Danio rerio: one gene and its partners. The protein of the gene in region 4 interacts with the protein of the main gene of each other region in a pairwise test. Links are inferred from orthologs where the notes say so. Each region holds a gene or a part of one and is shown on either strand. Other genes may lie near its edges.

Region 1 (7,276 bases), on a different chromosome or scaffold from region 4:
CCAGAACAATTGTTTAAACCTAAAATTAAAAGCCTGGTCACATGAGCTGTCACAGTAGGAAAGAATGTAAAAATATATATCATCCAGAGAGTACACAATTCCATATATTCAAGGAGAGAACCCCAAATTTCCTAATAAAGTCTAATAATTTGATTTAATAAGTGAATTTTAAACTACTGAGACCTTTCATTGTGTTAATGTGTGAGATTGTCTTTCAGCATGACAGTATGGGATTGCATTCTCTTTGCTATTCAGGATCTGAAGCCCAGTAATATAGTGGTGAAGTCCGACTGCACTTTAAAGATCTTAGACTTTGGACTGGCCAGAACCGCCTGCACTAATTTTATGATGACACCTTACGTAGTGACCAGATACTACAGAGCGCCAGAGGTCATCCTGGGCATGAAATACAAGGAGAACGGTAATGCTGTTTTTTTTTTTGGCGGTAATGCCCTTCAGAGCCAATGAAGATATTGAAATGGAATTGTGTTATTAATATTTGATTGTCTTTTTGCAGTGGATATCTGGTCTGTAGGCTGCATCATGGGCGAAATGGTTAAAGGGAGCGTCATATTCCAGGGCACTGATCGTATCCACTTAATTCTAAAACCTGAAAAATAAGCAGTTAAGCTTGCATTTTTTGCAATGCTATTTTTAAATGTCAGTTTTATGTTTTAGTTTTTCAAATATGCTCTTCAAATATATATTCATCTGCATTTATTTGATCAAAAATACAATAAAAACTTTAAAAAAAAATTTAAAAACTGAATTTTTATTTTATTTTATTTTTTTTTACATTTAGAGTAACTGTTTTCAACTTGTTTATTAAAGTGAAATAAAATTGTCCCCAAACTGTGAAGCAGATGATGTTTTCATTTTTAATTTCCTTTATAAATACATTAATACCCTAAATAACTTTTTTGAAAAATTATTTAAAGGAACATATTTAGATGAATATTGAAGCATAATATGACACAGAAGCCTGGAGCAATGATGCTTAAAATTAAGCTTTGCATCAGACAAATAAAGTACATTTTAAAACACACAGTATACAACTAATATCTCAATCTGAGTGCTGTTTTAGCAATTTTTTTTTTACTTGTGTTTTTGATCGAATAAATCTGGCCTTTGCATGCAGAAGAGACTTTTTTTAAACATTAATGTTTCCACACTTTTAACTTGTATTGTACAATGCATTATTCTGTTCTAGTAATAACTGCATGCAATTCCATCATGATCCTCCAGAGGTCTGTGAAACCCTCATCTGATAAATTAAACCACACACTACTCCTCTGAATAGTTCTGCAAACTTTTCCTCTCTGGCCATTCTTTTGATTAACCATACTTAATCTTCTTTTTATTCTCCATTGTCTGTTCTATTCAGTAAGGGAATAGGTAATTTAAAAGCAAAAAGTACTGTTTACCAATGCTGTATGCCCTTCTTTCTTTTGTGGAAAGACAATAGTAGAATGAGAAATAATTTGTTGCAAAAACGGTCCTCTGCATGTCATACCATATATTCTAGATGTTCTGGAGGTTTCATTTAATCTAATACTGCAATTAGTAAAAATCCTGACTTTGATTTTGTGCACAACCAACTCACAAATGAAAAGAAACCATTACATAGTAATGTACATGAATACATTCTTTGATGCTATAACTTTTACTTACTGTTACTACTTTTACTTTGATACTGTACTTTCTACTTGCCTTTTATATGAAAGAGCACAAGCTGGATATTAATAAAAAAAATAAAATCTTTAACAGAGCAAAAAGGTTGCTGGTTAGAATCTTGGCTAGGCCAGTTGGCATTTCTGTGTGGAGTTTGCATGTTCTCCCTGTGTTCGCGAGGGTTTCCCCTATAGTCCAAAGACATGCACTATAAGTGTATCAAATAAACTAAATTGTCTGTTGTATATGAGAACAAACATTGGCAGTTCATTCCGATTTGTGGCGACCTCTAAAAAGGAAACTAATGAAAATAAATGAAAAATCTTTTAAATTTTATATTGGCGTCTGAAGAAAAAAATGAATGGGTATACGACATTGGAACAACAGTAGGGTGAGAAAATGGTTAAATTTTTTGGGATAATGATGCCTTTAAAAAAAGCAACTGTTCTTAATTTCATCATCCTCTTTAACTAAGCTGATCTCAGATATTGACCAGTGGAATAAGGTGATCGAGATTCTGGGAACCCCCTCTCTGGAGTTTATGAACCGTTTGATGGAGACTGTAAGGAACTATGTGATGAACAAACCCCAGTTTCCTGGAGTCAGTTTTAATGAGCTTTTTCCTGACTGGGCCTTCCCATCAGAGACGGAGCATGACAAGATCAAAAGTAAAACCATCCTCGCTTTTCTTTCATGTCTGTTTCTTTTTCTACTTTACACTAGCACACTCCTAAAGGCATAATCCACCCAAGAATGAAATTTCTGTCATTTAATCACTCTCCACTTGTATCAAATCTGGTCAACTCATAAAGGTTTAGAACTAAATGAGGGAAGGCTGAGTAAATTATCATTTTTGGGATAACAATGCCGTTAACTGTAAACTTTACTTGACACCCGATTTCTATTCTTTCCAATGTAGCAAGTCAAGCACGAGATCTGCTTTCCAAGATGCTGGTAATCGACCCTGAATGCCGTATCTCTGTGCAGGAGGCTCTTAATCACCCCTACATTCATGTGTGGTACGACCCAGCTGAGGCTGATGCGGTCAGTGCACCTCTGTCTATCTATGTCACTTTGTCCTGCCCAGACTTGCACAAACTGTTTTACAGGGGACGTTTTTACGATGTCAGGGAGGTCTTGGGCCTTGAATTTGTACTGATTGTTTTATGTGTTCAGCCTCCTCCACAGATCTCAGACAAGCAGCTTGAGGAGCGCGAACACAGCATCGAGCAGTGGAAAGGTACAGTCGCCCTCTGCTGTCAACATCTTCCGTTAAAAGCTACCTGTAGATGTAAATAAATGTCTACAGCAGAAATGATCATTGTGGTGTATTGGTTAAATGATTCCAAGGTCATTTGTGTTCTCATTTTAATAAACAGTAATCGGGTTGATTTTGTGTCATTAAAAGATTTTGACATTAAAAGTTCATAATCCTAATGTTTGCTAAAGGGTTTGTAAAAAAATAAAAAACATAGAAATCCACTGAACTCTGTTAATGATTTCTTGGGGTGGGGTTTCCCTCCTTGCAGAGTTGATTTATAAAGAAGTAATGGACTGGGAGGAGCGGAACAAGAATGGGGTACTGAAAGAGGAGTGTTTAGGTGAGTCACATATTTTCTTTAATAGTTATTCTTTTATTATTTAAATAATCTGTATTATGCTGCTACTTTTATTCCAAAGCAGATTTATAATGCATAAAGTGAATGATGCGTATTTAAGGTAATTACTAATGATGGAACAAATTATGAGAGAAAAAATAAGTCTGACTGATCTGCACTGCCCAGCATTGTTCAGGGCACTGATTTCACTCTCCCTCCAGCTCTCTCGCAATCTGAAACAGCTTTTACTAAACGCAAAAATCGCAATGCTATGAAACATGCATCAAACTACGCATCATGGTGGCGTAGTGGGTAGAACGATAGCCTCACAGCAAGAAAGTCGCTGGTTCGAGCCTCAGCTGGGTCATTACTGTGTAATGTTTGCATGTTCTCCCTGTGTTGATGTGGTTTTCCTCTGGGTGCTCCGGTTTCCCCCACAAGTCCAAAGACGTGGTACAGGTGAATTGGGTAAGGTAAATTGTCTGAAGTGTATGTGTGTGAATGAGTGTGTGTGGATGTTTCCCAGTGATGGGTTGCAGCTGGAAGGGCATCCACTGTGTAAAGCAGGTGTGTCCAAACTCAGTCCTGGAGGGCCGGTGTCCTGCAAAGTTTAGTTCCAACCCCAATCAGACACTGGCCTAGCTAATCAAGCTCTTACTAGGCAGTCTAAAAACATCCTTGCAGGTGTGTTGAAGCAAGTTGGAGCTAAAATATGCAGGACACCAGCGCTCCAGGACAGAGTTTGGACACCCTTGGCGTAAAGCATATGCTGGATAAGTTGGTGGCTCATTCCGCTGTGGCGACCATAGATTAATAAAGGAACTAAGCCAAAAAGAAAATGAAGGAATGAAACCTTTGCTTTCAAAAAGCGAAGTTGTTTTTTTGCTGCACCGATCAGATCACAAGAGCAACTCATTCCTGCTATTTGCAGTAGTGCTGCCTTGGCACCGCATTCAATATTAATAATAAAAGTTTTTGTAATCTTAAATGTGGTTATTTCATTGGCTTTTAAGCTGTAAAATGATGGTTATTGAGTTAAATGTAAATATGTAAAAATCAATTAATATTATTTATCACTAGATCTACAGAGGTGGTAATTTTGACCATTTGTAATTTTTGCTGTTTAATAACTTTAAGATAAAACACCTGTATCTATAATTCCATGACTTTTACTAAAATTGTGTATTTTCCTTCTAACATTGATATTTTATTAAAATGAAAAAAAAAAAAAAACACAAAAGAGTTTTTATTTCTACCTAGATAAACCATAGCATGCATTTTGATGTCTGCTACTTTTCCCTGTAATTTTGCCTAGCAACTTCATGCTAACCAAAACAACTTTCTGTTGGCAAAAACATATCTTCAAAGATATGTCTTTCAAAACAGCATGTTTAGTGCCATGAAAAACCTTCTCCCCTGCTTGTGAAAGTGAAAAAAAAAATGGATTCATTCATAAGTGGTCTAATGTTGCCTAACTGTATATATTTATAGGTTGTATTACCAAAAAGGTTGTATTTTTAGGGTAATGACTTAATTAACTATGATAACAGACAATCAAAGCTTAATTTTATAATCTCTGTAGAAGTTTTCTATGACAACATGATGTCTTGTATGAGAGCGGTGACCGCTATTGTAATTTTATTAGCTATAGAATGTTGGTAGTTCCAATCATTCGTTCCTTCATTTTCTTTTCGGCTTAGTCCTTTTATTAATCAGGGGTCGCCCCAGTGGAATGAACCACCAACTTATCCAGCACATGTTTCACGCAGTGGATGCCCTTCCAACTGCAACCCATCACTGAGAAACATCCACACACACTCATTTAGCTTACCCAATTCAACTATAGCGCATGTCTTTGGACTTTTGGGGGAAACCAGAGGACCTGGAGGAAAACCACGTGAACACATGGAGAACATGCAAACTCCACACAGATATGCCAACTGACTCAGCTGAGGCTCGAACCAGCAACATTCTGGCTGTGAGGCGATTGTACTACCCACTGCACCACCTTGACACCCTGTGGTAGTTCCAGTGTTAATGAAATAAAAATAATTATTACAAAGCAGTTTAGGGTTTCCAGCCAAGTGCATGCAAAATGTTGGGTTTCACCCTAAAATTTTTATTTCAGTGCATCCCTACACTGTAAAAAGAATCCTGGTTACTTTAAATATTTAAGCTTAATCAAATGAATCTATTTAACCTATGTTAGACTGACTGAAAACAGCTTGTGTAACTTATACAATTAAGTTAGAACATGATATTCTTGGTTTAATAAGTTTCAATGAACTAAAACATTTAGTGTCACGACTAATTGATCTTTTTTTTTTTTTTGAAGTGTAGTAATTGCAATGACATGAATGCAGCTAAATTTAGTTTCACGTCAAATGCATTTGTTTAGCCTTGATGTTTATAATAAATTCAATCACTTGGAACAGTATGAAACAGGTGCGGGGTTAAATGTTGCCTGCATTCATAAGTATAAATAACACATTACCCTCAGAGACACTCATAGTAATGGATTGCTCTTTGTGCTTTGTAGACGGTACGGTTAACAGCAGCGCCACTCCCTCCCAGTCGTCCTCTATTAATGACATCTCATCCATGTCGACGGAGCAGACGCTGGCTTCAGATACCGACAGCTCTTGCATTGACACCCTCACGGGCCCATTGGAAGAGTGACTCCAGTGACTTCCAGCTCTTCTCCCTCATGTCACATCGCTGTGTGGGCCATGCAGAGGTCTGGACTGAACCGTGGGTGCACGTTCATACAGCTTCAAGTTTACACTTCACTATTGCTTTTAAGGGACTGCTTTTTCCTCTCTTCTCATTCGTGTAGTATTAGCTTTTGAGTTGTAGGCTGATGCTCAGATTACACTCCAACAAAAAAGCATCTTATTTTCTTTTAGATTTTATAAAGGAACTCCGTTCAAATAGACAGAAGAGTGCATTAATGCGTTTACATTTCATTTTACAACAACTAACATGCCATCTTCTCCGGTGGAGTTCTTATTGCAGCAGCATATGTAATATCTGAGACTATCCCTGTCATTAATGCCCTCGCTCTCCCCCTGTGATGTAGCTTTTATTACTATTCATTTCATCACCTAAAAGAAGCACAGATATAAATTGTTGAACTTTATAGCTAGCCATCCCCTCCAGAACCAATTCCTGTTACAAGAATTGCTGCATGATATTAACAAGAACACTTATTAGACAGACAGCGCAACTACAGATTACTGAAATACGCCTAAACACACGTAGGAAACAGAACAATAGTGCCTGCCTCTGTATATAGTCACCATACACCCATTTTAAAAGAAAACCCAATGATGGATTTCAGTTGGTTAGGGTGTAGTCAAGTGTGTATATACGTACATAGATTTCGTGTAAATGTTCGGATTTTCTTTGTTCGTGCTGTGGAAACCATTTTACAGCTTTTTAATATCTACTCTAAAACAGATTGCGATGCGACTTAAAAATGATTTAAAAATACAATTGCACACAGAGGGTCAAAAATTAACATTCAGCTTTTTAAAAAAGTGCATCTAAATTCAAAATGGTACACTGTAGATGCAAAATCCAAATCGGAGTCCCGTTCCTCATCATTCCAAGAGTAATTAATCACTGCTGGCAAGTTCATGACGTATTTCATACGACTGTGTTTCATTGCATGAGCTATTGCAATCCATTGCCTTTTTTAATCTCCTCAAACTTGAAATGCCTATAAGAATGTTATATAAAGCAAATTTATATATATTTTTTTTTTACTCTTAAGAAGTCTTGTCAGTGGCTTTTTCTTTCTTTTTTCATTAAGATGCTCATATATTGACAAGCTGAAAGATTAGTCATATTCTTATAGATTACCAGGAACATTTTATTAACTTTGCAATTCAGTAGCTTTTTCCATCCAAAGATGTGCATTAAATCTATGCGCAAAACTGAATTATCGCATAAAAGACGTGCGAGTAAAGCAGCGTTTCCATCCAATGAGCAGTGGCAGTTCTAGT
Region 2 (7,753 bases), on a different chromosome or scaffold from region 4:
GTCTCTGCTTTCAGTAGAATGCCATAAATATCATGTAAAATTAAATTCAAACTCATTAGCATTTAACACTGAATAAGGCACATGAGGTGTACCTGAAATGATCACTTTCTTAGTTTTCTGTTGTTCACTTGTGAGAAATATGGTAGAAGCCATTTCTAATATATCAATTCGAGTTGTTGGTTAGAATAAAATCTCTCTTTTTTAAAATAGAAAATACTCCTTCTGTCTTGTGTCGTTTAGAACATGGTTTAAATCTCTCGCTCCTATCCTCAATCTGGCAACCTGCGCATGCGTTTGTTTTGTTCCAGGAGTGCAATATCTAGTTCAACCACTGGGTGTCTTACTTACCTACTGCACCCTCAATAACAAAATTGTCATTATCAGGTGAACCAATCCATTAATATGTAGCCACAAAGTCTATTTGTTCTTCAACATATCCTATTGGAAGTTCTGTATAACAGCATTCAGTTAGTCAGAAAGAGAAACTTTGATTTATATGAGGGGATTTTGGTACGCTTTTATTCACTGACATTCTGTTGACAATTTTAACAACGTGTAAAAATAATACCGCAGACTTGCATACATATGAACTCTCTGCTGTCTGTGCAGTCAACTTTACTCAGACTGTTGTCATGTCTCGCTGTGAATGTGTGCGGAGAAAGAGTTTCGTACTGGCACTGTGTGGGCAGACCACGGTGAGCAGAAAAGATCCGTCTTGGCATTTGACGCTTGTTGTTTTCTCCAAGCAGCCTCCAGCACACTGCTGTCCTGATGTGATGTTTTTAGGAAACAGTGAGTGAAGTTTGGGGACAGGTGTTGGGACACTGGGCATCTGTCCTGGGGCATCTGTCTCACACAACTCTATACTGCAAGGTCATCCTGACAACTACAAGGCCCGGTCACATCTCTGTGGATATGAGATGACTGTAGGACACATTGATTGTATTTCTCTCAATAGATAATTTCTTACAACAACTTAAAGCGAGACACTCCAGGCAAAAGACTTCCTTCATGCACCTGTCATTTTTTAGATTTGCGGCTTTGGAGAGTTGAAGTGTCTTGAAAAATATCTAGTAAAATATTATTTTCTGTCATCATGGCAAAGATAAAATAATCAGTTATTAGAAATGAGTTATTAAAACTATGTTATTAAGATTTTAGTTATTAAAATGAGTTATTATATATATATAATATATATATTTTTTTTTTTGAGTTTGAATGTAATGTATATATATAATTATTTTTGTTAATCTCTCCAATAATCTTTACATTATTTACAACTTAAATATACAGTGCAGTTAAAGGTTTTGCAAAAACATCAATAACAAAAAGCAAATACATAAATTAATGCTTGTAGTACAAAAAATTATAAATCCTATAAAATTTATATAAATCATTATACATTTTCACTGAGAATATACTATATTCCACAAAATTATTACAAAGAAATGTAACATGTAAGTTACAGACTGAATGAAACATGTAAGTTTAAAGTAGAAAAAAAATATCTAAAATATTAATTTAATTAGAAATATTTGCAGTTTTAAGGGATACACTTATAAGCAAAGTTCAAAACAGTAAACTGTAAAAAAATAAGATTTAAATGCTAATATAAAAATGAATATCATTTAAAATAAATGTAAAAAAGGCATTATGGTGGCACAGTGGGTAGCCTCACCTGGGTCAGTTGGCATTTCTGTGGGGAGTTGCAAGTTTGTATGTTCTCCCCGTTTTCCATAGGTTTCTTCCGGGTGCTCTGGTTTCCCTCACAAGTCCTTAACATGTGGAATAGGTGAATTGGGTAGGTTAAATTGTCAGTAGTATATGTGTGTGAATGAGTTTGTGTGGATGTTTACCAGTGATGGATTGCAGCAGGAAGGGCATCTGCTGCATAATACATGTGCTGGATAAGTTGGTGGTTCATTCCGCTGTGGCGACCCCAGATTAATAGAAGGACTAAGCCGAAAAGAAAATTATATATTATAAAATAAGAAAATAATATTTTTTGTAAGACAAATCTGTCCCTCACAGATAGTGAGTGAGTCTCTGTTTAGAATAGACATGATTTTATGATCACACTTACACATTAATCCTAGCAAATTTCTCTTGTGTGAGAAAGTGGCATGAGAAAGAGAAGTATGGAAAAAAATATTAGTTCATTTTTTGCCCTATACCTGCAGTGTGTTTCCTTAAATATTCATTATCAAAAGCTTTCTGCTGATGTCTCACTCATAGCGTCAGCGTGCTGCTCTAGGGAGAGTTGTGGGCAAACATGCATAATACATGTAAAGTGTAATCTCCAGTCAGCAACAGACTGGCACTCACTCTAGTCGTCCTCTGGCACTGGACACGACCGCAGACTCTGGCGTAGGGCCACTTTCTCACTCAAGAGAAATTTGCTAGTGTAAGTGTGATCATAAAATGGTGTCTATTATAAAGAGAGACTCACTAACACTGTCTGTGAAGGACAGATTTGTCTTACATAATATATATTATTTACATTTATTTTAAATAATTTTAGTTTTTGTTTTAGTATGTATATGTATAACTGCAAATATCAAAGATTAAATAAATATTTTTATTATTTAAATTTTTTAATTTTAACTTACAGTCTGTTACTTACCTGTTCTTTGTAATTATTTGTGGAATATAGTAATTTCTGAGCGAACAAATGTATGATTCATTCATTCATTCATTTTCTTGTCATCTTAGTCCCTTTATTAATCAGGGGTCGCCACAGCGGAATGAACCACCAGCTTATCCAGCAAGTTTTTACGCAGCGGATGCCCTTCCAGACGCAACCCATCTCTGGGAAACATCTACACACACATTCACACACACACTCATACACTACGGACAATTTACAGTAGCTTACCCAATTCACCTGTTCCGCATGTCTTTGGACTGTGGGGGAAACCGGAGCAAACCCATGCGATGGCAGGGAAAACATGCAAACTCCACACAGAAACGCCAACTGAGCCGAGGTTTAAACCAGCAACCCAGCGACATTCTTGCTGTGAGGTGACAGCACTACCTACTGCGCCACTGCCTCGCCCACAAATGTATGATGATTTATATAATTTTTATATGATTTATGTTATTTTTTTATTATGGAGTTGTATTACAAATATTAATTTATGTATTTGATTTTTGTTATTGATGTTTGTGCAAACTTTTTGCCCTGAGTAACAAAAAGAAAGCAATTAACAAAAACAATAACATATTTTTAATGTTTAATTCAAAGTGTAGCAAAAGATGTAACAGATATAATAAAAAAAATAACAAAATATTATGTCTTATTTTGTTGTGTTAGAAACTTGATTTATGTGATATTATACATTTTATGTGATTTTTTTTTTACATTTCAGTAGGCCTAAATATGCATTTGTAGGTCATTTGAAGGTTTCATTTCATGGCTTTGTGATGATTTGTTATATATGTAAATATTAGGTAGGCTACATGTAAATAGTATAGTTTTGGTATTTATGTCACCAAGTTTGTTATGTAAGGTTGTCTAAATAAAATCACCTCAAGCATCTTCATACAGCGCACCTGTAGGGGACGCTGGTGGCGACTACAGTGTTCACTACTAAGTGAACATGGCAGGGTTTCTGTTGCTGTCAGAGCGCTCGCTGAATGATCGAAGCACCTCGTGTGATTGGCTGTGGTGGGAGTGGGCGGGGCCTGAACAGCGCCGCTTTTATATAGGAGCAGGAAGCCTTGAGCTTCAGACTGAGAGAAAACAGAAGGATTGAGGAAAGTGAGCGAGGGCTGATGTAGGGTGTTAAAAGAAGACAACACTGAGAGCGGTTTGTAGTGTTTTTCGTACAGGACTGGTAGACCAAAGACGAAACACCTCTCCAAAATGCTCTGCCATGTAACTCGACCGGACGCGGTGGTGATGGAGATTGAAGTAGACGCGAAGGCGAACGGAGAAGACTGTCTGAATAAGGTGAGAGCATGAATGAAAGTCTCAATGTGAAATTTATGTGATGGTTATTTGTAAACTGGTCTAAAATGTCCATCATAGCTATTTTGCATTGCTTAAAATGGCATATAAACAAATGTTGACAAAGAGATGTAGCCTGAGCGCGGAATGAATGAGTTCGAGTCACACATGGAAACTTAATATCAGCATCATTCTGTTTATATCTTTAATGCCATGCGTTTATTTAGGCAAAAATGGCGAATAACATTTAACATGCAAAGCATTTTTGAGTGCTTGCGTCTCTTAAGTCTATGATGTTTATTCAATATATCAAACGACCAAATATAATGTGTTAGCCTACTAATGTTGCTGCGAAAAAACAATAAACAAAAAAAATAATAAAGTTTGCATCATAATTCAAGACACAAGTGTGTTCTTGAAACGTTTTCGTTCATATTTTAGAAAGAGAACGATGTTTGGGGTATTCCCGAACAATAGTGTGCATGTGTGATGGCATCCTCGAGGTTACTAAAGTTCATTTGCTTTAGCAGCAAATGTTTGTCGCGTGCATCGAGGTACTGCTCCTCTCGAACAAATATGAAAAAATTTAAGCTTTTTAACACCTCTTTGCTTGTAACAAATGTTTTAAGAAGGTATCTTAAGTTGTTTTAATTGTACGCTCAACTCAAGCATTTCAATCAAACAATTTAGAAAGCAACAAATCTAATTTGCAGAGCAAATGTGATATACAACGAGGCTCAAGTTTGAATCATTTAATGTAGTTTGCTAAAGTCAGAATGTGATGCCGTTGACTTAAAGTTTGTGTTCGTAGAAGCATGCTTTAAAGCGATATTTAATCCCAGGGCAGTTTAAATGTTCCCTTTAACAGGGATTTTTTTCTGAACTCTGTTATGTAACTGATATTCTGAAGGGGGAATAATCTCCTAAGGCTCATAAAGAAATAATCAGCAATATTTTATTTATTTCAATGAACTGCACAATTAAACCTTATTGAAATGACCTTGTGAATATGTTGTTGTACTACAAACCTGTTATTGAGATAAATGTCCTGATTTCTTATGTTGCAAAAAAAAAATCATACTGTGGCATACAAAAGCTGTTTAGTAGAATTTATAATCTGCTGTTTTTTTACACTCCTCATACAGGATTATCATCATGCTAAACAGCAGTTTTTAACCATAAAGAATTGTTTCACAATTAAGAGAGTTTGTGCTATTTTTAAACCCAGATTATAAAACCCAGCTTTTGCGTTGTTTGCCATACATTGCAGTGTCAAACATGTGCAGCATAAAAAAAAATGCGTTTGTTTGATGTGGAATATATATTGATTTAAATTAAACGTATGATTTGTATATTTTGTTTGCTAAACTTTGTCCCAAGTATATTAAAGTTATAATTAAAATAAATACTATTAGTGTGGCCTTTATAAAAAAGGAAAACATAATTTAATAAATAAAAATGCTCATCATTTTTCATATTTTTAAAGTTTAATTCATAGCGGTAATTGCAATTCTGTCGTAATTAATTTCACAAATGTATTTTTTGTTGTTGAAAGATAGCTGACTTTTACTTGGTATTCATGCCTATATATTTTTTAAATTTAGATAGAAAATTTTAGCAATTCCACAATTTCTGAGTGAAATGTTATTTTTATTGCTAGTATGGCTAGATTGTTAGCTCATAATTAACATGTCAAATAACTATGCAGCTATCTGAGGTAAAGTTTAAAAGTGAATGGGGAACCTGAAACAACAACATACACTGTAAAACCCAAAAGTCTGAAGTTTATTCATTTCTGAAATCTGAAGTTTACTCAATTTATTAAAAGTTAAGTCTATTCGTTTGAAAAAAATTTTAACTCTGTTGAAGATAATGAGTAGGCCCACACGTAATCTGTGCACGCAGATTTTTGGCCCGTCGTGGAGTCTATTTATTTACTTGTGTAAATGTGTGTAAATTGATATTTATTCAGTTTTTAAATTCATTTTAGTAATATTGTCTAATATGAAACTGTTCACATGATTTATTTACAATACAGTTTGTAAAGTTATTTATTTTTTATATTTATATATATATATATATATATATATATATATATATATATATATATATATATATATATATATATATATATATATATATATATATATATATATATATATATATATATATATATATATAATTTTTTTTTGTAGATCTATTGTATAGGAGACTTGCTTTGTTTACCAATTAAGTGGATCTAGATGGATTTGCATTCTAAACATTAAAGTTAAAGCTATTGTTTTTGTCATATTAAGTTTAGTAATGATGCGCCCAAAATAATTCTGCATAAATCCATAGATTTTTTTACAAAATTCTCTGCAGAAATAGCAAAAACAATTTCTGCAGATTATGTCTGGCCCTGGTGATGGGTTAATTAAATGACTCATTACTTCAACTTAAATTGGAGTAAGTTCACAGTACTCGTATAAGTTACTTTTTAAACTCTGATAGTTTGTAGCAATCGGCTTCCTCACTGTTTGAGTTGCCTTAACTCATTTGGTTTGACAGTACCCTGTTGGTTTGAGTTCTCTTCATTTATTGGGTTTTACTATGCTTGAATTGCTTTATTTACTCAAATGGATTAAGTTCACTGTACTCATGTAGATTAGTTTTTGAACTTAAATGGTTTGTTGCAATTGATTTCCTCAAACGGTTTGAGTTATCTTAACTTTTTGGGTTTTACGGTGCATTGTTTTTATATATATATATATATATATATATATATATATATATATATATATATATATATATATATATTGGTAAATCTCAGTGGCGAAAGGTTAATACAAACTATTCCCAATTAAAACATAATCAGAGTAGAGTTTCAAGTTTTCTTTTTCTTTCTTACAAGAGCATATTAATATAGAACATGTGCACGTATGTGTAATTTATCAGAGTTAATCATAAATTTATCTTACTGTAATATTTCATTTTAAAAAAAAATCATACTCTTGAGTTTTGGAGACTTTAACAATGCAAAAAATGTTTGTTTTTTTTTTTGTTTTTTTTTTCCTTGTTAATTCTTGTAAACAGGTATGTCGGAAGTTGGGAATTATAGAAGTGGATTACTTTGGGCTGCAGTTCTCTGGCAGTAAAGGAGAAAACCTGTGGCTGAACCTGAGGAACAGAATCTCCCAGCAGATGGACAATCTCACGCCCTGCAGACTGCGGCTCCGAGTAAAGTTCTTTGTGGAGCCTCATCTTATTCTGCAGGAGCAGACGAGGTACGTACACTCAAAAACACAACAAACATTCATAAAATTAGATCTTGTTTGAGGAAGTTGAGAACATTTCATCATTCTCTGTGGGTAGAGATTGTTTTGAACTTCCGCTTCAGAACAGAAAAGGTTTCAGAAGAAGAGCAACAGGAAGAAAAGCCACTGCGCATGTGGGTGTATGAATATTTAGTGTGAGATCAGTGGAAGCAAAGCCATTTTTCTGCCATTCACTGTATCTAATGTGGATTCAATGCCCGACTTGTGCTGCATCTCGTTTTCTGGAGCCTGCTATAAGCACAAAAAATCTAGGGCAAGTTACATATTAAATATTGATTTAGCAACACTGGTTTTCTCAACTACTGTTCTTTTGGCTGAAGTCATGCGTCTCTGGTAGCAAAGCAGCAAGCGCACGGTAGTCTGTAAAGTACAGTGGTTTGCCCTGTAGTAACCCTGCTCCCTGTGGGTTACTGTAGGTCGTTGTGCGATGAGCGGCAGCAGGAAATGCGATCCCCTGCTCAAAGGCTCCTGCCCACAGAGACTGAGC
Region 3 (7,874 bases), on a different chromosome or scaffold from region 4:
AAGAAACGTATGAAAGATAGTAAATGGAGAGAAAATTTTCAATCTCCAGAACAATCCCTTTAACACAAATAGCAACATAATTGAATGCACAATTCCTCTATATAGTAGTAACCTAAAGCTAAATCTTCAAAAAACAAAACAATGACTGCATCCAAAACGTATACTTCTATTCAATATAATAAGCAGAAATCAATATGCGAAGAGCCAATTTGTATGCCCAAATTCACAGTAAACAGAACACAAAAAGTGCACCGGTTATTTATTATATCTGGAGAGATTTTGGGGTATGCGTATGATAGACATTTTGCTAGGTCAAAGAAGAGGATTTGTGATTGGCAGTGAAGCAACTTAACTGACACTAGTAGATCACATGGTTATGAAAATATGGTGAATGCAGTACATCCAGATTACACTCATTCTTTATAGAAGAACCCTTTTTTCTGGAATAATTAATTAACAAAATAAGTACCTGCACTAGAGGTATAGAGTATACATTTTTTGGACACAACCAAACTTTTATACAGTGAACCCAGTCCTGCTGACCTGCTTTGCCCTCTTTTAACAAGTTTTCAGCTGTGAGTTTGATGGAGTCGTGCTCCACGTTGGAGATGATGACATGAGGTAGAGAGCCTCTTCCATTTGTTTGCTTGCTTGAGGTGCTTCCCTCTGCTGAAATCATGCTCTTCTTGAAGTGCTCAACCGCTGTGTGAAACACCAGATTATTGGCCTGAAAGTTCAGAAACAGAGAGCTAAATAAAGTTTAAGTGGCATTCCATAAAGGCCCCTTTACATAACTCAATTATGTAAATCCAATGCACCTCTCAACATAAGTGTAATGCTCCATTTGGACTACTGCTTGAAGGGTAAAGCTGGGCCTAAACTCTGCACTTTTTAATAGTACTTACAACTGTAGTTTGTTAGACTTTACAAATATGATCCCCATGTCACTGTAAGATTAGAGTTGCTGTAATATCAGACTATATGACAATCGTCAAAATTGACACGCAGTAAGACTCATCAAGAAACAACCTTTCTCTTTTGTTTAGTCTATTACTGTATTTCAAGTATAATAAATCTAGCAGTTTTTGCTAGATTATTGTTTTTTTTTTTTTTTTTATTGGGTTAATGTTTGTGAATACACACAGATGAAAGAAATACAGGAAAACTGTATGGACTGATCTTTGTTTTATGCTGATCTGTGAGCAACAGCATCTGTTTTGTCAGAGGAGGCATTACAATACTCTATATTAGGGGTCAAAATGACATGTAAATAGCTTGTATTTAAATATTCTGTTTCACATTAAGCAATGTTTTAAAGGAAATAAGCCTTATCTTGGCATTCAATATGACATATAAAACTGAAAAGAATGTTTTGACACTGTTAAAAACATAATACTTGCGCTCAGGTTTGAGTGTGGTGAAGCACGATTTCATAAATGTGATAAAGCAATGAAAATCAAGCTAAAACTATCCATGGTATGCAACATGTTCTTTTTTTTCACTGACAGCCACAATTCGGAATCTCTGGGAGTTTTCCACTTGTAACTTTAACATTGTGTGTTTGCATTCATGTGCTTTCAATTCATAAATATCTGTCTGTCATGACCTGAACCCACCATAACTCTGCAGGTCAGTGGCTCTCCAGGAACAGGTTTGGACGCTCCTGTTTTATTGCTGCCTTCACATGCTATAGAAAGGAATTATTGCAAATATAAGTTTCCCAGTCTTTAATCGGATGTTAACGACTTCTTAAAACATATTTACTACTGGGAAACTTTTAATACCCAAGTTGGGTGTGCCATGAACTTTAAACATGACATACAGGAGAACGATTGCTGCTGTGACTGCTTTTACTTTTCTCAGAAACAAGTAATGTACATAGCCTTGTCATTAAAGTAGAGCATAATAATCTTTTATGTTTCATAAATGTTTATTTGGCTAAACATTCTTAAATGTCAATAAACTGACTGCCTTACACAGGGAATATTTATATAGTTATCAACAAATGGGATGCTCTATTTTATCTTTTACAACAACAAAAAACAAGCTCATTTTCATGACTCACCTCAGTTCCTCCTGAAGTAAAAATAATGTCTGCTGCTTTTCCACCGACCATCCTAGCAATGGCATCTCTCGAATGGTAGATGATGTCTCTGGCTTTCAAACCTAATCAGAGATCAGTGGAAAACTATTTTAAATATTGTTTAAGGGATAGATTACCCCAATTTTACCCTCCTTACACTGGCTGCCTGTTAAATTTCGTATTGAATTTAAAATATTACTTCTCACCTATAAAGCTCTAAATAATCTAGCTCCTGTTTATCTAACCAACCTTCTGTCTCGCTACGAACCAACTCGCTCCTTAAGATCTCAAAATTCAGGGCTTCTGGTAGTACCTAGAATAGCAAAATCAAGTAAAGGAGGTCGAGCCTTCTCTTTCATGGCTCCTACACTCTGGAATAGCCTTCCTGGTAATGTCCGAGGCTAAGACACACTCTCCCAGTTCAAAACTAGATTAAAGACCTATCTGTTTAGTAAAGCATACACTCAATGCATCACCTAGCGGGTTCCACACTGGCTTCTGCATCTTGCTTATATACACTATGAACAGCAGCTACGCTAATTATTCTCTTTATTCTCTATTTTCACCTGGGGATACTCATCCCGAGGTCCTCAGATTAGGCGGAGTCACTGATTGGATCCAAGACCAGCGACGTGATGATCCCAAGGATTCCATATCCGGGACCAGGCCATATCCTGAGCTGCTGCTGCGCTGATGGTCGTGGGGAGTGGAGAACATGTGTCTGATTCCAGCGACGCTCCAGGGACAGACGAGTCTTCGCTGAGGCCATCTTCCAGCATAAACCACGGCGAATGAAGTTCTGCACAAGACTTTTGGCCAGCGGAGAAATTAAAATGGTCGTGCCCAACTGAGTCTGGTTCTCTCAAGGTTTTTTTTCTTCACTCCCATCAGGTGAAGTTTTTTTTCCCTCTCCGCTGTCGCCACTGCCTCGCATGGTTCAGGATTGGTAGAGCTACGCATCGATGAATTTGCTCTTCAGTGTTTGAACTCTCAGTAATGATTAAATCACACTGAACTGAGCTAAACTGAACTGAACTGAACTTAAACACTAAAACCTGAACCACACTGTTCCAGTTACTGAACCACACTGTTCCAGTTACTATGACCATTTATGTGAAGCTGCTTTGACACAATCTACATTGTAAAAGCGCTATACAAATAAAGCTGAATTGAATTGAATTACCCCTCCACTCTAATCTTTGATCAATGCGAGGGGGAACAAATCCCATTTATTTTTCGGGGATTATTTAAATGTGAATAACGTTGTACAGCTTCATACCTGGAAGGTAGTTACTGCTGGGATTTCCCCACGCATCCATTAAAGCATCAGTAACAACCCTGATCACCTCTGGATCGGCTGGTGTGGTGGCGTTGTAATCCATATATATTCTGCAGCAAAACAGTTATTCGATTAATTGCATTCTGAAACATGTGGAAGATCATATTTGGATGACTTCATGTTCAGAATAGGACTGTATTGGCATATTCATTACCTATCTGGTCCATCAGCCACAGCATGATGATCCAGGTGAGAATCCCAGTGATGTAATGAGGGGAAATTATGACTCAAGGTTATAGGTGGGTCAAACTTTTCAGCCATGATCTGGATTACACTGATAAAAAAGGGCAAAATATTGTACATGAGTCTAAACACATTCAGGGAAATATTAAATCATTTTACAAAGCATATTTAAAGGGACAATTCTCAAAGAAATTAAAATTCTGTCATGGTATACCCACCCTCCCCTTTTTACAAAAATCTTTATAAGTTTCCTTCTTGTGTATAATACAATGTAGGATATTTAGTGCAATGTTGGAAACCCATAGCAATCGACGTCCATTCCTTACTATGGATGTCAGAGCCCACAAGTTTATAAAAATTCTTCTGAACACCTTCATTTTTTGTTCAACAGAACGAAAGAAAAACTCATAAAGGTTTGAAATGGGAGAACGTTTTAATGTTTATGTTAACCTTGGCTTCAAAGTTAAACCATAACGGAATAATGCAGTCTGTAAGGTTTGCTGGGTCACACATATAATTATGTCTTGATTTAAGCCAGCCACTGCTATAACTATAAGCTTTTAAAATTCTATGTACTTTATTAAAATCTCTAACTTTGATTCATGCATGTGATTCACTGAGCGTGGAGACTTGTTCTGTTGTCTAACATTATGCGAGCAAACCCCGACAAGCAAAATGGCCTTTACAGTCGCTTTACAGTTAGCTGAGATAACTAACTTTAGTGATAAACCTATATAATTTTACTGCTAGTTTACTGACCTTTCTTACTCTTTTAGCGTATGTCTGTCCTGTCAATGATTCACAGTTGCACGGCAGCACGCCATACTGTGAACCGGAAACGCACGACTAAAACAAACCCCTCCTCTTTTCACACTGTCCCACTTTCTTTTTACTATAGCGAAGGCTTGCCTCGTGAATTATTAATCAGATCGCGGTGACGTTGCTTGATAAACGTGAAAAGGCGTCCAGTCGTGTCCTGAGTAGTAATGCTAATAAGCCAAGCCTTCAGGGTTCCGCGTTTCTAATTCGATAGTCTACTTCCGCTAGCTGAACGTCACGTAATTAATATTCATAAGTTAAGAGCCTTCTTCGTAGTAGCGCTTGTAATTTTGTTAAGTTACTTTGAGGCCAGTGAGGATGGAAGTATCGTTCAAATAGTCTACGATATGGTTAGTAACTAAGGGAATATATACTAATGGATAAAATGAAGCACATATAGCTTGACATTGGTAGGTAGTAATTGATTTTCTTTTAATTCTATAAATGATGTGAACAATAAACGTTACACTGATTTATTCATGAGCTATTTCACCGAATGAGTGCCTTTTCTCTCCCCAGGACTAAATATGTATACATATGCAAGAAAAGTAACTCAAACATTCTTGTTATTATTATTAAGCAAAGTGTCCTTTACCGTCAGAACTACAAATTTAATTCATTAAAAACGACCTAAAACACTGAAATTTTTCGCTTGTCCCCAGTCTCTAACACTGCAGTTCACAGTAAAATATAATTATTAAAATCTTAGATTGTTGTGTAACTCTATATCTCATATTTGCCTCAAATACATTTATACACACAATTTTTAATCAGTCCTCTTATATATCAGTGCCCTTTTTTGTCTAAGGCATATATATATATATTTATATATATATATATATATATATATATATATATATATATATATATATATTTATAGATATATATTTTCCATTTTTACCCTAGCCTATAACCACAATAGCTAATTCACATATTTGGCAAATCATGAAAATTGCCTGAATTTCTTTAAGCTATTAGCATGTACAGCATGCATGTGGCTAAATGGCATTTAATTGCAAATTTTATGCTAAAAATTCAGTCCTGTTACGTATTTGAAGAGTAACAGGAAGGAGTAACACCAAGAGTGTGAAGCATCTTCTGAAGTATTTACTTAGTAGTATGAATATTAGTTTTTATTATATTTTTCACCTGATTTCCACATTATGTTTGCTGAAGTTGTAAGATATTTAAAATAATAGTTTTCTCAAAAAATGACAATTTTGCCACTGACAGTCAACAGTTTGTTTGACCAGTGAAGACATCCTTTTGCTACTTATTTGAGGACATTATTTTATGAAACCCTCAAGGCCAGTCACAGGTTGTAACATGAAAATTGAAAAATATGTCTGGGTCAAACTGGGTCAAGCTTTTTAGGAAAGGTTAGGGAAATTGTTTTTTGTTAAGTTAATTGCTTTTAGCAATCAAATTATTAGTGGTTTGTGGACAAGTAATGTTATTATTGTATTATTATGTTAAAATAGATAGAGAAGACCCATACTATGTACTGTAGGAGCCAAAAACACTCACATGGCATACTGCAGAGGAATGAGCAACCCTCTCTTTATTCCTCTCTCTAACGGTTCTGTTGTATTCTTTCTTTCCATCTTCTTCAGTGTTAAGACCTACAAAGCCCGTCCTTTTAACACAGATATTCCTCTTTCTCTCTCTCACACATAGCACATACAGGATTCTCTCTGACACAAGCATGCATACACAAACACACACACATTCCTGTTACAGTTTTTATTCCTGTTTCTGTAAGTGTTTTTTTTTTCATAATTTTCTCAGTTATGTTCGGTACATCATTTACTTAAATGTTTATTAATTTACATAATAAAAAATAATGAATTTCAGGCCACAGTTTTCTTTAAAAAAGGAAAGTACCAATGCATTCATATATAGTGATTTTTTGTCACAATTATAAAATTACAAACCATTTTAAAAAAGAAAATCACTTTCTTAGGAGGAAAACAAAGCAATACATAGTAAAAACGTAAGTTATTTTATATGGACCAATTTGTATATTTAAAGATTAAATGTGTGTTATTAAATTCTGCTTTGAAAAAATAAATAAAAAGAAGTTTTATATTAAAGTTACAACTAGCAAAAGGCCCTCATATGCTCACAAATATCAGCAAACTTCTGTTATTAGTTTTTAGTCAGTCTCACAATATTCACGTTGACATAGTATTCACACTCACATAACCACAGTCTGTAAATGTATGTAACATGACAAATTGTTTCATCACGCCTGGATTCTGCTAAAACTAGAGCAAATAATGAATAGCCTAATACATTATTTGTAAAATAAATAAATAAATAATAACTAATATGATTTAACAACCAATTTAATGAAATTCGTAAGTTTATACTTTTTATGGAAGTCTGTTTTCACTACAAGAATAAAAAAAAAAGACTTCATTTAGTAATTCAGAATTTCATGTAATTAGACATTCTTCAAAAGAAAGATTAATATTGAATTTCAAGAAAGAATTCAAAAATGTGTGATCTAAGTGTCGAATAATGATAGAAGAAATTCTGGGAAAAGTCTTAATTGTGAGCTAAATAATATATTTTTAAAATATTATTTCCAAATATTATTTCTAAAAATAAACACACACACACACACACGCACGCACGCACGCACGCACGCACACACACACACACACACACACACACACACAAACAATTCATAGTGTTGCATAAGTTCCACATTTATTTCATATCTGACAATGTGTTAAGTGTACACAAACATGACTCATAACTCCAACACTCAGAAAGAGACATTGAACTACTGCCCACTGAAGATGGTACAAACCAATTACAACTGCATTATACACCATTCACAGCAATCATGTTTATATACAAGGCAAGTAAAACTCAGAGAGAACAACAGAGAAGAAAAAAATCATATGAATGGAGTCATAATGTGCATTAAAGCAGAACGGAAGCACACAAATATTTGGTGTAAATTATGAGAACAATTGAATTATTTTACTTGTGGTAAATTAATTCAATGATAATGGAATGGGTGTTTTATGAAAAAGCTTGTAGAAACATTACAGGATATGCTATACTTCTAGCTCTCTGTCCTACTTTCTGTAGAGACAAAAATGAAAACAATCTAGTAAGCACTTTAACTGAAATTAATTTTAAAAAGTAATTTTGTCACACACATACAAACTTATTATTATTAAGGTATGTATGTTTCTAAAAGTAGTGGCATTGCTTGTATTTATTTTAAACTGGTCATAAATGTAAAGTGAAATGACTTGACATATCAGTGAAAAACTGAAGATATGCTTATTTTGTCCACTCAAAGATACAGAAATGACAATAGTAATAACTGAATTTTTGGAATAAGAAGTTTAAATCTCTGGAATCTATTCACAGACAGATCAGTGTTTTAGCAGAGGTGTTTTCTTGCAGTATTGAGTATGAACTGTAGGT
Region 4 (7,724 bases):
TTTTGAGCAAAAAATTTTGGCAGTCTATAAAAAGCTGTTCGCCATTTCTTATTTTGGCCAATCTAAACAATTATAAACAACATAAAATATACACATTTTGATGTTCTGATTGCAGTTCCTATGTAAAAGAACCACTTCCTGCCCTCTATCTGAATTTCATGCAACATCAATGGCATCAGATAAAAATAACCTAATGCTCGAGTACCAAAACATTGACATCAAATAGTGCTTATTTGAGTCTGAATATTTGTCTTGAGAACTTTACCTGTGTTTGAGATGTGCCTCCAGGTCGCAGCGAGGCATGCTGAGCGAGCAGGAGGGCGTGAGCGGACAGGTGACCGACAACTTGTCCAGCAGCTTGTGCACCAGAATGCTGGAGCGCCGGCAGACCTGCAGCTGCAGATGCGCACGGTCCAGTGGACAGAAGTCCCGTTCCTGCAGGAAGCTGCGCAGACAGCGGGCACAGAAGGTGTGGCCACATGGTGTATCCAGGGGCTGAACTAACGGCTGAAGGCAGATGTGGCACACCAAATCATCATCCACTTCCAAACGATAGTTATAAAGGTGGTTCTCCCAGGTGCGGTGAATCTGTCCACATTCAGAGCAAAGGGCCTCCAGAAGAGCTTCGCTCACCATGCCCGGGTCCACTCCCTCTCCCAGACTGCCCATTGCTCTCGGCTTTGGCTACACTCACTCAGTCCATCCCGCGGGCGTCAGAGGCTGTGCGACTCCGGCAGGGGACGACCACCCCCTGGCAGGCACAGTGACATCACTCTGAAGGGTGGCAGAGAAACAGTGAGGTAACTATTGTGAATGAGAGACAGTGTTTGTGTGTGCCAGGATGAGATTATGTTGCAGAGCAGTGTGGGTTTACTCCTGCACATTAATCTGGCAGTGTAATCTCATGCTCTCTCGCCTAGAGAAATCTTTCAATCCCGCAGAGAGAGAATTATCCAGGATTGAGGCAGGGAGCACCGAGTCAAGAGGTTTTCATGTGAAAGTGAGAAAAGGAGGGGCAAGAGAAGACGACGAAAAACAGATGCTGTGTAAGATTCCAATGGAGAGCACTTGTTCATAAAAACCAGAGCGGAAGCCCTCTGAGTCATTAAATATAAATATTAATCAAAAACCTACTATGTTATAATTAAAATCTTTCCTCCGAAGGCTGTTTCTGATTTTGATACTGTGTAGATTTAAAGGAATACGGCTTACATTATGTCTTTCTTTTCTTTTTCATTCTTTTAAGACCTGTTTTAACACATTTTAATCTGTTTTTAATCACTGTTATTGTTTGTTTATATTTTCTTATACTTGTCTCTTTTATTCCTGTTCATGTAAAGCACTTTGAGTTGCCACTGTGTAATAAATGTGCTTTATAAATAAACTTGCCTTGGCTTTGTGTTTACTCACCATCACCATTTATTCAGAACTTTTTTCTAAAAATGAACATTTGCTGTTAACTTACTCTAAGGCCATCTAAGATGTAGTTGGCTTTTTATTTAGTAGAATAGTAAAGAAGATTTATGTTGCGATTTATGCATTGAGTAAATTAATTCAGCATTTTTTCTAATATTTCACGATCTATTCCTTTAATATTTCCTTAGATCAAGGAAAAAAGTAATGGAAATATGAGGGAGATAAATTATGAGGCAATTGTAGTTTTGAGAGAACTTGAACTGGAGTTTTTAAACTTTGAGGGAATAATAAGTGAAAGAATTGTAAAATGACAGATATGATTTAGCAAATGCATACATTTCACAAAAAAATACATCTAAGAGTGCAGAACTATAGTAGTATACTCGAATATTTACATTTTAGAAATTGGCGTAGAAACTAATTTTACTCTGAAAATGAGTAATGTTAATATTGGATGTCATTTTCTTGCAAATTATACTGTAATAGTCTACTTACACAGTAAACGTTTTAAGATGGTGGTTCCTTTTCTCAGTAGTATTATGGTATAAATTCTGACGGTATGATAACCTTGGAAACAAATATCACGGTTTCACAGTATTGTGATTACTGCTCTAAAAAAAAACAATCATTTTTTCCCCTTTAAACAAAATATATTTTATTTTGAGAAACATGTAAAGTATTTTGGAGCAGTAAACATGTCAGGCTAAAGAATTTAAATGAATCATTGACTTCTGCTGTCTTTATCAGTTTCAAAAACACAGATTCCTTTACAATTTAAAATGGCATCTTTTGATATCTTCTCTGCTGGAGATACTGTTGTCCTAAAAAAATGTAAATAAAAAAATCTTACACACCTTAGGAATGATTATAACAGAAAATTTTGGCGGTTTTAAAACCTTGACTTTTCCAAACCGCGGTATACCTTGAAAACGGTTATCGCCCTATGCCTAATGGAGTCCATGCCCAGCAAACAATTTTGTGATTAATAGACGTCTAATAGACATCTAAACTAAGACAGTTTGGCTAAAACAAGGCTGAACTTGGGCTGTCAGTAAAAATCTAAAAGACATCTAAGAATAGCCCAAAACTAGACAGATTAGACAGACTTTACATCTGTAGTCAGTTATTTCTGTTAATTTGATTACTAGTTTTGGCTTGTTCTTAGACGCAAGGGCGTAGCGGACGTTTTAAAACTGGGGGGGACAGCTGTATGAGATCCAAAAGTTTACATTCATATAATTATTAATCACCTATTTCTAAATGGTCTGTCTCTAAAATAGCCTCTGCTAGACGGCTATTCGATTTATTACTAGACAGTCCAAATGTAGCCTTGTTTTAGCCAAGACGACTATGTTTAGACGTCTTTTAGACATCTTTTTAAAACAAAAAAATGCTTACTATGTGGCTTCTAGAAAGAGAAAACTCCTGAACTATTCCTTGATAATTGCCTATTTAATGCCACCAAACAGCAGGGGACAGTCTATTGGGCCAACAATAACGACACTTATCGTCTATATGCACGTTATCCGACAGCTGTGCGTCCATGACCGGCCTCACGCCTGCTCTGTGGACGGCATCTCCGTGACTACCTGCCTCTGTGTTTATCTCGCAGCTGGACATGAATAAAACATGAGGACACAAGGCTCCTCTGTTCCCACTACAAAGCCCTGTCAACGTCTCATCACACACACACATACCCATGCTCACACTGTAAATGTCTTAATGTGGACAGTCTGAACCAAAAGAAGCAGCTCGTGCCTTGATAGCGAAGATGTGGGACTTCATTACATAAAGGCTGGGATGCTTAATGGTCATTGGGCGGCTGCCATTAGTGTTTCCATCCTATGTTCATTCTCCTCAGACTTTTAATCACAAGGGAGTGTTTAGATATTGACCGCAAGTGCTGTTCAAGGCCACTCACTTGTTGTATCCTTGTATCTTTATCTGACTGTCACAGTTGTGTTCTCACTGGCAAAATGGCACATTCGCCTCTTATCTGGCTGCCTGGCGGATGAAGAATTAAATGTTTGTTCAGCTGAACTGACACGACAAAACAATACAACTAACGGCTGATCTGTAAACATCTCGGCTACAGGGAAAGCTTGCAACATCTGACATATTTCCATAGCTTTGAATTGATTGTGCACAGTCTGTATTTACTGAGCAAACGGCGTTCGGGAGCAGTGACATGTTTCCATTCTGCAGATCTATCCACAAACCACCATTTCTGACACCCATCACCTTTCCCCAATCAATACATTGACCTTAATGTTGTTCAGAGAGGTTGTACATCCACAAACAGGTAGGCAACAAAAAATAAATTAATGGAGGGAGGGGGGGGGGAGGAGAAATAACGGCGCTTTCTCTGTTGAATTAAAATGTCTGTGGAGGCCACCTGCATGAATTGTCTCGTTAATTAGGCGTATCCAATCCGGATCTATGACACGCACAAATATCGATACCTCATTATTCCTGGTTTAGAGCGGCTCGCTGTAAATTTTTCGTTTGCTGTCTGTCTCTCTCTCTGTGCCGTCGCCAGTACAATGGGCGACAATGACATCTAAGAAAATACGAAATAAAAGACCAGCGAGTGATTATATGAATATCTGAATAACATTACCTATTCGCGTTCTTCTCGGATGCTGTGAACTCTGGCCCCGAGAGGGGAGAATCATGGAGCTCAATCACATCCACCGCAGCTTCCCCGAGCCGCATCCGCACGTCAAAACACCCCCGTATCTTTCTTGGAGCGGTGTTTGATTCGTGAGCGGATGATTCATTTGAGTCGACTCTGTTGAACAAATCAGATGGATCGAATATTATAACTGGTCTGCACAATTCGGTCATGAGTCCGTCCGAGCGACTCTCGTAGCACAGACTGCCCGACTCACTGAACGGAGAACCGAGAGTCCTTGTCGGGATTTTTCCATTAGGATCCATTTAGAGGGAACATTTAATTTTAGCTCGTGAGTGTGCAAGTAATGTAACTTGACTAATGACTTTTGTCAACAACAGCAGCAGTGGTCACGTTTATTTTTAAAGCATGTGATTGTAAATAGTTATTTTATTCATTTATTTATTTAGTTTTTTATTGGTCTGTTTATTATAAATACAAATTATCTTTAGGGTACAATTATGGACCTTGAAATAAAAACTGTTTATTACAGCCAATAACAGCTAATAATACACTACTTATAATACATGAATTTATATATATATATACAGCGGAATGAACCACCAACTTCTCTAGCCACAACCCATCACTGAAAAACACACACCCTCATTCACTATGGTTAATTTTAGCATACCATTTCACCTGTACAGCATGCCTTTGGACTGTGGGGGAAGCCGGAGCACCCAGAGCAAACGCAACATGAAGAGAACATGCAAACTCCGCACAGAAATGCCATCTGACCCAGCTGAAGCTCGAACCAGCAAACTTCTTGCTGTGGGGTGAACGTGCAACCCACTGCGCCACCCAGTGACTTCTCAACAACAACCAAATATAAGTAACTTGGGAAAACAAATATAATTTTTTTCCTCTGAATGCATTTCTGTTTTTAGTGAATCTAAACTTATATTTAAATACATTTAATTTAAATAAATATCTAAAGAAAAAAAACATTAATTAAATAGTAATTATTGCTCACAAGTGACTTAGAATTAAGATATTTGATCAAGTTTTTTTTAATTATAAGCATTAAAACATAACACTATGTATTAATAAAAATTCAGACACAAACTATATCCAAGACCATTACAATAAGTGCAAAAAGCCACATCCAGAAATAATATTAAAACAAAAACATAACAAGTAAAAATATTAAATTAAATATAACTAGTAATAAAAAAAAAAGATTGGCACACAATCAGACTACAGTGAGGGATCAGTACCAGAAAAAAAAACTTCATGAAATCTAACATCAAGTCATTTTTTTGTTATTAATTTGCATTAGAAACTTTTTCAAAGTTTCCATTTCTAATAAAAATTAATAGCATTTTGGTATACACTTCGCAAACTTCTGTTTATGAATAAAATATTAACCTTGTAGCATGTAAAAATTAACAACATACCAACATACTCTAATGAGTGTGTGTGTGTGTGTGTGTGTGTGTGTGTGCGTGCGTGCGTGCGTGCGTGCGTGTGTGTGTGTGTAAAGAGCAAATACAATCTTTTAACATGTATTTGCCCAAATAACACGTCACTAACATCATACTAAAATGTAAGAGACATCACAGTTATAGAAAAGATGTGATAAGTGTGCAAGTATTGTCAACATTCATGTATTTAGATAAGATAAAAAGAGATTAATTGATTTATTTATTATTTTATTTATTATTTTTTTATTATTATTAAACAGCAGCAAATATACAATTTAAACATGACATCCAAAACTACAAATGTAACCTATAACATAAAATAAACTAAAATATAAATTACATAAGTTAAATAAATAAAAAGACTGTAAAGATATTATGTCATGTAATGCGCTTTGGGATCATGTAATGACGTAAAGAACCGTCGGAACATGTTGAACTGTTCCATTCAGAGCTGCTGTTCAAATGAACCATTTGATGAAATGACTCTGATTTTTTCACTACCGTTCGTTTGACAGGCTGCAGACGGCGCTGTTAGTCGAATATCAGTTGTGACCATCGAGATGCCTGATTAAAGTGCGATCGTAAAACCTATTATTAAGTCAAATAATAAACTAAAATAGACTGTTTAAATGTACGTACTTTTTGTTCCAAGTGCAGATAGTTTCTACATTTTTAGTTTGAATTTTACTGTCTGCTCACTTCCGCAAATTTAGTCAAAACTAAGATGGTCAAGCGGACCGGGGTCCTAAATTGGGTCCTCGAGAATAGTAAACACTAACGTTACTGGTTAGCAAGCTGGAACAAGCTATAAATTAACAGTGACTGCGGTTTAAGGTTAATTAGATCATGGAAGACAGTGAACTGGAAAGGTATGATATTTCTAAATGTCAATTTTCCCCCTTTTGACCAGTTTATTGGACTAGTTTACGATGCAGAATATGCTAACGCCCTCGGCTTCGTGCAAATTGGTCAGTAAATTTGTGTAAACCAAAACCTGAGACGAAGCACCATACTTTTGTTATATAGCAAACATTTCGGTATCCTAGAAAAGTCTATTTTGCACCGTCAGAGATTTAAACGTGCTATTTAATTTGGGGTCACGGTAATACATAAATTAACCCGTTTCTGTCGTCAAATGTCTCACTGTAAATAATTTCCCCAGAAAAGCAGTGGAGGAGCTCCTTAAAGAAGCGAACAGAGCAAAAGCCCGTGTCGAGACAATGGGTCCTGCTGGATGGTAAGTTTGGATCACTAAATTGATAAATTACAGATATTTAAAGTGACCAATTTGAAGTCTTTTTCTATTATTAGTAACCACTATTGCCCCCACTCTTTTACACACACGCGCACACACACAAGGGTGTAACTTTGGTTTTCGGATGTGAACTTAAACCTGTGTATGTATATATACAGTACTGAGTACACCCCTTAAAGATCTGTATTTTAAATTAATATGTAGTATAAAATGCTTTACAGTAATGCATTTTGCACAAACTCTTTAGATTTTAAGGTACAAAAGCCAAAACTGTGACTAATCAAATATGCTTTTCACAATAATCAATATATCGACTTATCGCACAACACATTGACATGACATCTATCATTTTTGGTGATGTAATATATATTGCCCATATATAAAAGTCAATTCTAGCAACATTTTAGCTGATGGTGCAACCTCTTTATGTTACTGTAGTATATTTTCATGCAGGTGTCTGACAACTGAAAATAGATCTGGTAGCAGATCTTGCAGCCTCTGTTACTTTTTACATTGCACTTTTTACTACTATTTATTCAGGATATGTGTTTTCACATGCTGATTCCCCTGCCTCATTATTAAAGTTAAAATGACTATAAATTAAATGAAACATCCTTAAGAATAAAATATTATGTGGTCTTTAGAAGAGTGTACTTGCATTTTGATGTTATTATATTGTCATTTTGGCATTATATAATAAGTGGCATAAAATGGTCTCAAAATGACAATATTGTTCATCATAATATATGTTGGTGCAATATATCATACAAGAAAAAATAGATATTATGACAAGCTTATAATTAAAAAAAACTATTTAAGATCACAGTGCAAAAATCAGTACACCTTAATTAATATACTGGGGGAAAATATTAAATAATATATTAATAAACGGGAAAAATACTTTTTTTTTTTTTTTTTTGCAAAAACTTGTTTGATTGTAAGTGTATTATTT

The links.
Region 1: the proteins of lnx2a (region 4) and mapk9 interact in binary tests that used the Homo sapiens proteins (3 or more experiments, as listed by UniProt). The link is inferred for Danio rerio from reciprocal best matches to the Homo sapiens genes LNX2 and MAPK9.
Region 2: the proteins of lnx2a (region 4) and mylipa interact in binary tests that used the Homo sapiens proteins (3 or more experiments, as listed by UniProt). The link is inferred for Danio rerio from reciprocal best matches to the Homo sapiens genes LNX2 and MYLIP.
Region 3: the proteins of lnx2a (region 4) and scly interact in binary tests that used the Homo sapiens proteins (3 or more experiments, as listed by UniProt). The link is inferred for Danio rerio from reciprocal best matches to the Homo sapiens genes LNX2 and SCLY.

Annotation. Positions count from the first base shown.
Region 1 is NC_133196.1:35,024,427-35,031,702, reverse strand, and holds part of mapk9 (mitogen-activated protein kinase 9), read left to right. Parts: intron 1-255; coding exon 256-421; intron 422-517; coding exon 518-589; intron 590-2,156; coding exon 2,157-2,339; intron 2,340-2,590; coding exon 2,591-2,715; intron 2,716-2,847; coding exon 2,848-2,911; intron 2,912-3,200; coding exon 3,201-3,272; intron 3,273-5,808; coding exon 5,809-5,948; 3' UTR 5,949-7,276. UniProt on the Homo sapiens protein: Serine/threonine-protein kinase involved in various processes such as cell proliferation, differentiation, migration, transformation and programmed cell death.
Region 2 is NC_133194.1:28,752,062-28,759,814, forward strand, and holds the start of mylipa (E3 ubiquitin-protein ligase MYLIP-A), read left to right. Parts: upstream 1-3,730; 5' UTR 3,731-3,865; coding exon 3,866-3,952; intron 3,953-7,024; coding exon 7,025-7,215; intron 7,216-7,753. UniProt on the Homo sapiens protein: E3 ubiquitin-protein ligase that mediates ubiquitination and subsequent proteasomal degradation of myosin regulatory light chain (MRLC), LDLR, VLDLR and LRP8. Activity depends on E2 enzymes of the UBE2D family.
Region 3 is NC_133181.1:29,761,559-29,769,432, reverse strand, and holds the start of scly (selenocysteine lyase), read right to left. Parts: upstream 4,435-7,874; 5' UTR 4,365-4,434; intron 3,697-4,364; 5' UTR 3,684-3,696; coding exon 3,577-3,683; intron 3,473-3,576; coding exon 3,363-3,472; intron 2,167-3,362; coding exon 2,066-2,166; intron 728-2,065; coding exon 544-727; intron 1-543. UniProt on the Homo sapiens protein: Catalyzes the decomposition of L-selenocysteine to L-alanine and elemental selenium.
Region 4 is NC_133199.1:25,551,412-25,559,135, forward strand, and holds the start of lnx2a (ligand of Numb protein X 2a), read right to left. Parts: upstream 4,175-7,724; 5' UTR 4,037-4,174; intron 775-4,036; 5' UTR 670-774; coding exon 266-669; intron 1-265. Other genes in the region: si:ch211-140b10.6 (protein POLR1D-like), read left to right, coding at 6,364-6,386, 6,680-6,754.